Sus scrofa: one gene and its partner. The protein of the gene in region 2 purifies or fractionates together with the protein of the main gene of each other region. This does not show direct contact. Links are inferred from orthologs where the notes say so. Each region holds a gene or a part of one and is shown on either strand. Other genes may lie near its edges.

Evidence for each region. Proteins that work in one complex are often made in the same cells at the same time.
Region 1: the proteins of SH3PXD2A (region 2) and FGD1 purify together in Homo sapiens (affinity purification with mass spectrometry; 3 studies listed by BioGRID and IntAct, with this or other methods). This does not show direct contact. The link is inferred for Sus scrofa from reciprocal best matches to the Homo sapiens genes SH3PXD2A and FGD1.

The regions. Positions count from the first base shown.
Region 1 is NC_010461.5:47,228,857-47,233,089, forward strand, and holds the start of FGD1 (FYVE, RhoGEF and PH domain-containing protein 1), read right to left. Parts: upstream 2,801-4,233; 5' UTR 2,007-2,800; coding exon 1,700-2,006; intron 1-1,699. UniProt on the Homo sapiens protein: Activates CDC42, a member of the Ras-like family of Rho- and Rac proteins, by exchanging bound GDP for free GTP. Plays a role in regulating the actin cytoskeleton and cell shape.
Region 2 is NC_010456.5:114,774,452-114,778,435, forward strand, and holds the start of SH3PXD2A (SH3 and PX domain-containing protein 2A), read right to left. Parts: upstream 2,801-3,984; 5' UTR 2,310-2,800; coding exon 2,238-2,309; intron 1-2,237. UniProt on the Homo sapiens protein: Adapter protein involved in invadopodia and podosome formation, extracellular matrix degradation and invasiveness of some cancer cells. Binds matrix metalloproteinases (ADAMs), NADPH oxidases (NOXs) and phosphoinositides.

The DNA of each region.
Region 1 (4,233 bases), on a different chromosome or scaffold from region 2:
GGATGGAAGCCACTGGCAACTCTGATGGAGATCCACAAAGGGGCCCTACTTAAAGTGATCAGGGAAGGTCTCTCAGAGAAGGTGACATCTGAGCTGAGACTTGAAAGATAAGGAATAAGCCAGGTGGAGAGCAGGAGGAAGAGCTGCCAGGCAGAGGAAAAGCAGATGCAAAAACCCTGAGGTGGGTGTGCTTGTGGCATGTTTTGGGATCTGAAAGAAGGTGCTGCAGTAAAGCAGGTGAGTAGCCTGCTCCACACAGTGCCTGTCAAAGGGAGTTTGGTAAGTCAGCAGGAGCAACATGCAGGGCAGGGGATTTAAAAGCCTGTTGTCAGTTGGTTATCTCCATCCCCCACCTAGGGGGCCCCTGAAAACTCCCAGAGGTTTTCCATGACTAGCCCAAGGTCATAAGAACAGCAAGGGGCACATGTTGCCCATACTTTATGCTTTACCACTGCTACCTGGTGCTGAGCCACAATCCCCAAAACCTGTGGAGCCTGGGATGTGAGCCCTGGAGGGCCCCAGATGCTCCACAGCTCTTTGAGTGTTGCCCAGTGGAAGATACTGCTCTTCCTCCATGGTTCCTGGGCTCAGGTCCACATGGGATGTCCTCAGATGGGGGAGGCCCTGATGGACCCCTCAGACACTCAGATCTCTGCAATGCAAAGGCCTCTCCAGGCAGTGGTCTTTGGCCCCAGCCTGACCTGGAGCTGCTCCAACTCTGCAAATCCAAGTTCAAGCATCCTGACTTCTCACAAACAACCTTGTAGCCCTTAGCTCTCCAGATCTGCTAAAACCGGCTTCGGCTTCTCCCCCCTCCCCACCTTTCTGCTGTCTCCCTTTCTAGCAGCCCCTCCAGCTCTTCCCTCCAGCTCTACCCCACCCCCCCACCCCCGAGGCCCACCTCTTCTACCTTTCTCTCTCATCAGCACCTTCTACTCCCTCCTTCCCCTGTCCTCCTGCCACACACACCTGGCAAAACCCCAACCTTGGATCAATCCACCATCCCTCTTTTTTTTTTTTTTTCCACTCATACTCTAGAGCTGCTGAACAGTGCAGGAGAAAATCACATAAGCAGAAGGCTTGGCATTACTTTCATGGTCTCCAACCTCAGTTTGGGGAAGCGGAAAGACCATAGACTTTGGACTCAAACATATCTGATTTGGAATCCTGTCTCCATACTGGCTGTGTGACCTTGGGCAAGTTGCTTAACTTCTCTGAGCCTCAGTTTCCTCCCCTACAAAACGCGGCTAATGATAATACTTCACAGCAGCCTTCTGAAGATGAAATGAGAACCCATGTGAAGCACCAGCCCAGTGCCTGGCACAATATAGACGCTTGGCAAATGAGAAACTCTTCTTTTCTTCCATTCCTCCAAACAAACCTCAGTTCCTACAACCAACCCCCCTTACTGCCTTGCAATACAGCCGCTTTTTCTTGGAGTGCTCCCTCTCCCATTAGCCTCAGAAGAGAGAAGAGAAGGGGTTCGGAAGGGTTGAAGGGGCACGGGGGACAGAGAGGAGGCGGAGACTGGGGTTGAAAGAATTGGAAGAAGGCCGAGAAATGAGGGACAAGGCTGGGGGTTGAGAAGACTGGAAGGGCTCGGGTGAGCGGGCCGGCCCCGAGGTGGGGCTTAGAGGCCCTAGGACAAGAACCCGCTCCCAGGGCCATGGCCCGGGCTTCCATGCTCTCGATCACTCACCAGGCCGGGGCTGCGAGCCCTCCAGGTGGTAGGAGAAGCGCAGGGCCCGGTGGTGTTGTGGACTGGGGCCGCAGGGCAAGACCCGGGGGCCTGGAGCAACGCCCAGGCTGGCGTCCGAGGGTCCGGCAAACTGGGGATCCAAAGAGCTGCCGAGAGCCGAGCCTGAGCTCCTGGGCACTGGCAGTCCGGGATCCGAGGCTCCAGGGTCCGAGTCTGCATAGGCCGGTGTAGCGGCGCCGTGGGAGTTCGCGGCTGGGTGTTCGGCCTCGGAAGGCCCGGCGCCCCCCGGGGCTCGGTGGCCATGCATGGTCCGGGCCTGGGCGCGGGGCCCGGGCTCCCCGCTTGGCTCCAGCTCCTGGGGCGGAGGCGCGGGCGGAGGAGGCCCGGCGCCCGGCGGAGCAGCGGCCTCAGGCTCGGGGGGCGGGGCTGCGGGCTCAACCCCACTGCGGAGACTCGAGCCCCCGGCCCGGGCCCGGGCCAGCAGCCGTGGCAGCGGTGGCAGTACCAGCAGCAGCCGCGGCCACCGCCGCTGCGGTGCCAGGCATCGCCAGCCCGGGCCCTGCGCGGGGAGTGGGCTCGGCTGGGCCGGGGGCCCGCTGGGGAGTGCTGTCTATGCGGCAGCGGCTGGGTGAGGGTCGGGGGGCTGCGCTAGGCGCGGGCTCTCTCGTAAGCGGCGAGCCACTTCCGCGGCCCCGGGACGAGCGACGGTCTGTTCCGAGTGCGGGGTCTCTTCTTTCTCCCCAAATGGGAATCGATCTGGGCTCTCCTGGCTGGTCGGAAAGGGTTCTTCCTCCCGCCGCAGCGGAGGCTGAGGGGCGGAGGGGAGGGGAGGGGAAGAGAGGGAAGAGGAGGGAGGGAGGAGAGGACGGCGGAGGCGGGGGGCGCGCGTGTGCGCCGCGCGCTCCGGCTGCGGGGCTTCCTCCTCAGCCAATCCCTCCGGATGATGCTCCAGCCGCGGGGGAAGGGGAACAGCCTGGGCCGGGCTCCACCGTCCTCCCCAGCCTCGGCCTGGGTCTCCGAGGCAGCGGGCGCGAAGGAGCCGGGGGAAGGGGGTGGGGAGGCGGGAGCCTTCGCTGAAGCAGCCGCAGCCACAGCGGCGCTGGGACCCAGTTACCCGGGCCCCGCCCCCTCGCCCGGGATTTGCGCCTGGCCACGCCCCCTCACTCAGGCCGGCCTCAATTCTCCCAGAGACCGCCCTCAAGGCCCTCCTTCCCCTTAAAAATTCCCCCTCTTCCGGCCTTTCCCACCTCTCCCTGGTACCATACAAGCAAGTCTATGGGCTCAACACCCCAAATCTGCCTTTTTGTCCCATCTCAGATCTGCCTCCCTCTGCTTGTCCTTCAATCTTCTTTCCAGAAGCCTTTCCACATGTTCCAGAGTTTCTCTAGGGCTTGGCTCATAGGGATCTTCACTCTGCTCAGACCAGACCCCGTGGTCCTTTACTTTTCCATTCTCTTGCCAACAGCCCCAGTTCCCAGGAGTTGTCGCATCCGCCTGGCAACATCCCAACCTTGGATCTGTCCAACTGTCCGCCTTTTCTATGCCTGCGCCCAGGCAGCTAAACACTGCTGAAGAAAACTATTCAACCTCACAGATACAAGCCAATATAAACTCATAGTACCTAGTCTTTACCAGGCCCTTGGTGCTGAACCACAACCCTACTATGCATCCCCAGGCAGCCTTCTCTCTCAAGCTCCACAACTGCTATTTCTAACCTCCCCTTCTCCTCAAACTCCCAACTTCTCCATCTGCCCCCTAACCCTCATACTTACTTACTTACTTCACAGAGTAAACAGAAGTCACCAAAAAGGAAGTTTTTGACTTCTTGTTACCAAACCTACAAGAGTCCTTCCCTTGCTCCTTTCCACCAGCATTTCAACATACTCGGGTCTCTTCTATCTAAAAACAATTACCAAAAAAATCTCCCTCTCCAGCCACCTCCCTCTCTTCTCTCTATAAATGGCTCAAGAGTCGCCTACACTTAACTCAATTTTCCCACTTCCCACTGATCTTTCAACCCACTCCAATCTGCCTCTACTACTTGCCTAATGCTGCTCTTCTTATCAAGGTCTGCCTTGGCCATGTGTCACTAAATTCAGTAGAATCTTTTCAGAGACTATCCTGCTGGACCTCTTGGTAGCATTTAGCCCCAGTGACCACTTCCTCCTTCTTAAGCCACTTCCATGACACCACACTGTTTTTTTCCTACTTCCTTGGTAATTCCTTTTTACTTTCCAGGGTCCTCCTTGTCCAACTCTCTCTCTCTCTCTCTCTTTTTTTTTTCCTTTGGCCATGTCAGTGGCATATGGTAGTTCCCAGGCCAGCAATTGAACCTGTGCCACAGGAGTGACAATACCGGATGCTTAACCCACTGAACCACCAGGGAACTCCATGTCCAACTCTTCAGTGTTGGCACTCTTTAGGGTTTCCCCTGAGCTCTATTGTCTTCTCTCTCTCTGCTCTTTCCTATGATTATAACATTCTCATGGCTTCAATTATCATTTCTTTGCTGATGGCTCCCAAGTTGATACCTG
Region 2 (3,984 bases):
CCAAATCTTTCTTCCTTCTTGCCAGACCATTAATAGCTGCTTTTCAAAAGTGCTTTCTTAGTCAGAATCATGCCCATCATAAGCTACCATTTAATGAGTGCTTGTTATGTGCCAGGAACTTCCTAAGTGCTTCGCATGGATGATCTCATTTAATTCTCCAGACAACCCTATGAAGTAGATACTATTATTATCCTCACTTTAAAATGAGGAAACTGAGGCCCCACTAAGGTTAAATAATTCGCCCGAAGTCAGTGGCTGAGCCAGGCTTAAAACAAGAGCCTCTAAGTCAGAGCCTCAGCAGTAACCATCTCTCAACACTGACTGCAGCGGGTCTCCGGTCGCTTCAGCAACACTCCTGGCTTGTTGCCAGTAGGTTCTACATCTGTAATCTTGGACATCATTGGTCAAAGCCAAGATTTGATGTTTTGCCTAAAAGCCAGAGCCGGGAAAAGCACCTGCCTGGGTCTCAGAGCAGAGAGTGCCATCTGTTGAAAGCAGTGCCAACCCAGAGGACTAGAAAAGAACTCCTAAAACTTAGCCTGCAACATTTGAGAAGTTAGGAAGGCTGATATCATAAGGAGTGCTGGGATATGCAAATGGACATCTGTCCCCAGTGCAGGGTGACCACTCAGTGACCTAAGTCCTCCAAAAAGAGCTTTCTTGAAACAGCAGGTTTAGACGCTTGCGGAGCCAGCAACACAGAAGGAACAACTCTTCCACCAGCACCCACCTCTCTGTCCGGTTGGTTTACCTTCTCCCCAAACTGAGCCCATACCCATTTATTTTGCTATAAAGAAACCCAAAGGTCAGAGCTACTGGGGATAAAGACAGAAAGAGTAGCCTGAGGCTGACATTAGCACAAATCCCAGTCCCCTTCCAAAAAGGAAATAAAAGGCATTTCAGGGATCAAGGTACTGTCTAGGGCTGCAACCAACAGCCTGTTTTAATTGTTATAAATTAATGCTTTGAGCATTCACTTTATTTTTATTTTTTTGTCTTTTTGCTATTTCTTTGGGCCACTCCCGCGGCATACGAAAGTTCTCAGGCTAGGGGTTGAATCGGAGCTGTAGCCCTCGGCCTACGCCAGAGCCACAGCAACGCGGGATCCAGCCGCGTCTGCAACCTACACCACAGCTCACGGCAACGCCGGATCGTTAACCCACTGAGCAAGGGCAGGGACCGAACCCGCAAATCTCATGGTTCCTAGTCGGATTCGTTAACTACTGCGCCAAGACCGGAACTCCTGAGCATTCATTTTAAATGTTCCTTTAAGTGCCTAATTTGCAAATAAGATGCAGTCCTTAGGCTTTGGGTGCCCTGCTGTCCGTCTCTCCTATCTCAAGTACAGCGGCAAAGCTGCTCAGACTGGAGTCCTCAGGCGTCAAGGACAATGTTTACTTCCTAAGGTGGGAAAGATGGGAAGAGAGGACGGGCTGAAAGGAAAGGGAGACCCGTCCCACAGGCCCGGAGCTCGGCTCAATCAACTCTAGCCCCTTCTCATTAAGTTTGAAGAAGGAAGGGGGAGGGGCGGCCGGCTGTTCCTCGGAGACCACAGCAAACATTTGCCGCCTCCTGTCTGGAAATGGAGCATCACTTAAGAGGAAATGAACCCGGTTAAGGGTCACGTCCAGAGGAGGGATAAAAGGAAAAGCCACATTTCTCCTCACACCGACCGACACAATGACTTTAAGGAAACCAAAGCTCGGGGCTGAGAGTGGAGGTGGGGCATGGGGCGCGGCGGCTTCCCTCTGACCCCAGACCCAGGCCTAGGGAGGCAGAGACCAGAGCAAAAGTGGGGGGCTTGCGCGAGGCTTCCTTTCCCAGGGCAAGCCTCTGAAAGCATCTCGGTCTGTGAGCGTGAGCGACCCGAACCCCTTGGGATGACCGGGAGGATGTTCCTTCCCAACGGAGCTGCCCAGCGAGGGTTTGACGAACGCTCCCCCCCACCCCCATCCATCAAAGCTCAGGCGGACAGATGACTTCACCGTTGTAACAGACAAGGGCAGCCACTTGCCAATTCCAATGCCAAAAAAAGAAAACGGGCCTGGGGGGAGTGGAGGAAGGTCAGAAAAGGCTTCCCTGGAAATCAGAGCCCAGCGAAGAAACTCCATCACTGACGGCTGCCCTATGGGCACTTGGCTCTAGACTCAACAGCGGTTAGGGGCACAGGGCTACCGGGGGCCCTCTGGGGGTTCCTGGCCAGCCCCTCCGCAGGGGTCGGTAGGGGCCGTACTCACATAATGCTTGGAAGGGTTCCTCCGCTTCTCCACGTCCACCACGGTGGCATCTTGCACGCAGTAGGCGAGCATCTTCCCCTACAAAGCGAGTGGCGCCCCCCGGCGGCGTCACCTTCTCATCCCGGTCGGGCTCCGGCTCCTTCCCCCGCTTTCCGGGTCTGTGGGGCCACCCGCCACCCCGGTCCGGCGCGCCGCTGCCCGGGCTTCTGGCGCCCACAGGTACGGCTGCTGGGCGGAGACGGTATGGAGGGCACGCGGGCTCCGTGTGCCCGGGTGGCTCCCGGTGGGCCTGCCGCGAGCCCCTTCCCTCCCGCGCCGCCGCCGCCGCGGCTCTTCTGCTCGCCCGCCCGCTCTCTCCGCCGCCCGGTGGGTCCGGCGGGAACTGGCGAAGCAGAGGAGGGGCGGGGGTGTGTCCCGTGGGCAAGGGGACGGGGCGGGGGCCCCAGAGCCTGCTGACAGCGCGCTGGGGAGGGGCCAGCGGCGCCCCTTGGCCGCGCTGCGGCTCCGGGGGGCTCGGCGCTCGCGGAGGCTGTGGGCGCAGGAGGCGGAGGCAGGGCCGGGCAGGCAGGGAAGGGAAGGGAGGGGAGAGAGGGGAAGCGCGCGGGGAGGGGCTCCGGGCCCGGGGGAGGGGCTCGGGGCGACGGGGAGGGGGCTGCTGCCTGGCCGGAGAGGCCAGGGCAGGCTCGCGCGCCCCCACTGCGCCGAGAGCGCGGCCAGCGGCCTGGCGCGACGCTGTGCTAGTTCCCCCGGCACCGAAACTCAGGGTGGCTTCGGAGGGAGGAGGGGCGGGGGGAAGTGAACCCAGCGCGCCTCTACCCTGGCTTTCCTTCTGGGAGCGGATTTTTGCCATTCTGTCCTCACCTTTACGGCCCCCTCCCACTCCTATCTCCCACATCTTTTTAATGAAAAAGTAGGTTATTACTCGGCTGTTACTGTCCAGGCCCTCCGAGCTGAACAAGGAATGGGGAAGGAACCGGCATTAAATCCTTCAAGCCAGAGCCTGTTTTGAGGAACCACCTGCCCCCCTGCGGGTCACAAAGGGTAAATTCTCCCCGGAAATGTGATCGATCTGCTGCCCGAGTTGTCCATCGATCTGGGCCTGGTAACCAATCTGTGATATCATTTACCAGTGAGGTTACAAAGCTGCATAACACCACTGCCTTAAACCCAGAGCTTCCTGGGGACCCACCCTCCTCAGGCCTGTGAGGAGGGAAGGGAGCACACAGTGGTGGGAAAATCCACCGGGTTGGGGGCCAGTGATGAGCTGACCCCAGACTCTGGCTTTCTCACCACCATTCCCTCTGGTCTGAAAAACAGACTTTCCAAATCATTTGTCTGTCCCTGGACTTGGGACACAATTGCTATTTAATGCAATTTTACATCACCCCCCCATCTATTTCAACATTTTTTTTTGCATTCTAGTTTCAAATATTTAAAGAAGTAGTATTTTCACAACTAATCCTATTGTTTCACAGTCACAATAAGCTTTGTGGCCGTGGACCAATGTGAAGCATCTGAAATGGACGCCAAGAGTTTGACAACATAATCGTACCAATACTTTGTTCTCTGCACTGTCGGAACCCATGTAGCAATCTAGGACTTCATTCACACATTTGCTTGGTACAGAGTACCCCCACTATCCCTCCAACTTTCTTGGGGAAGGATGCTGGAACACCAAATGATGCTGCTATCCAAATATGTGACCTGGAGCAAATCACTTCATACCACAGGCATTAGAGTCACTTTA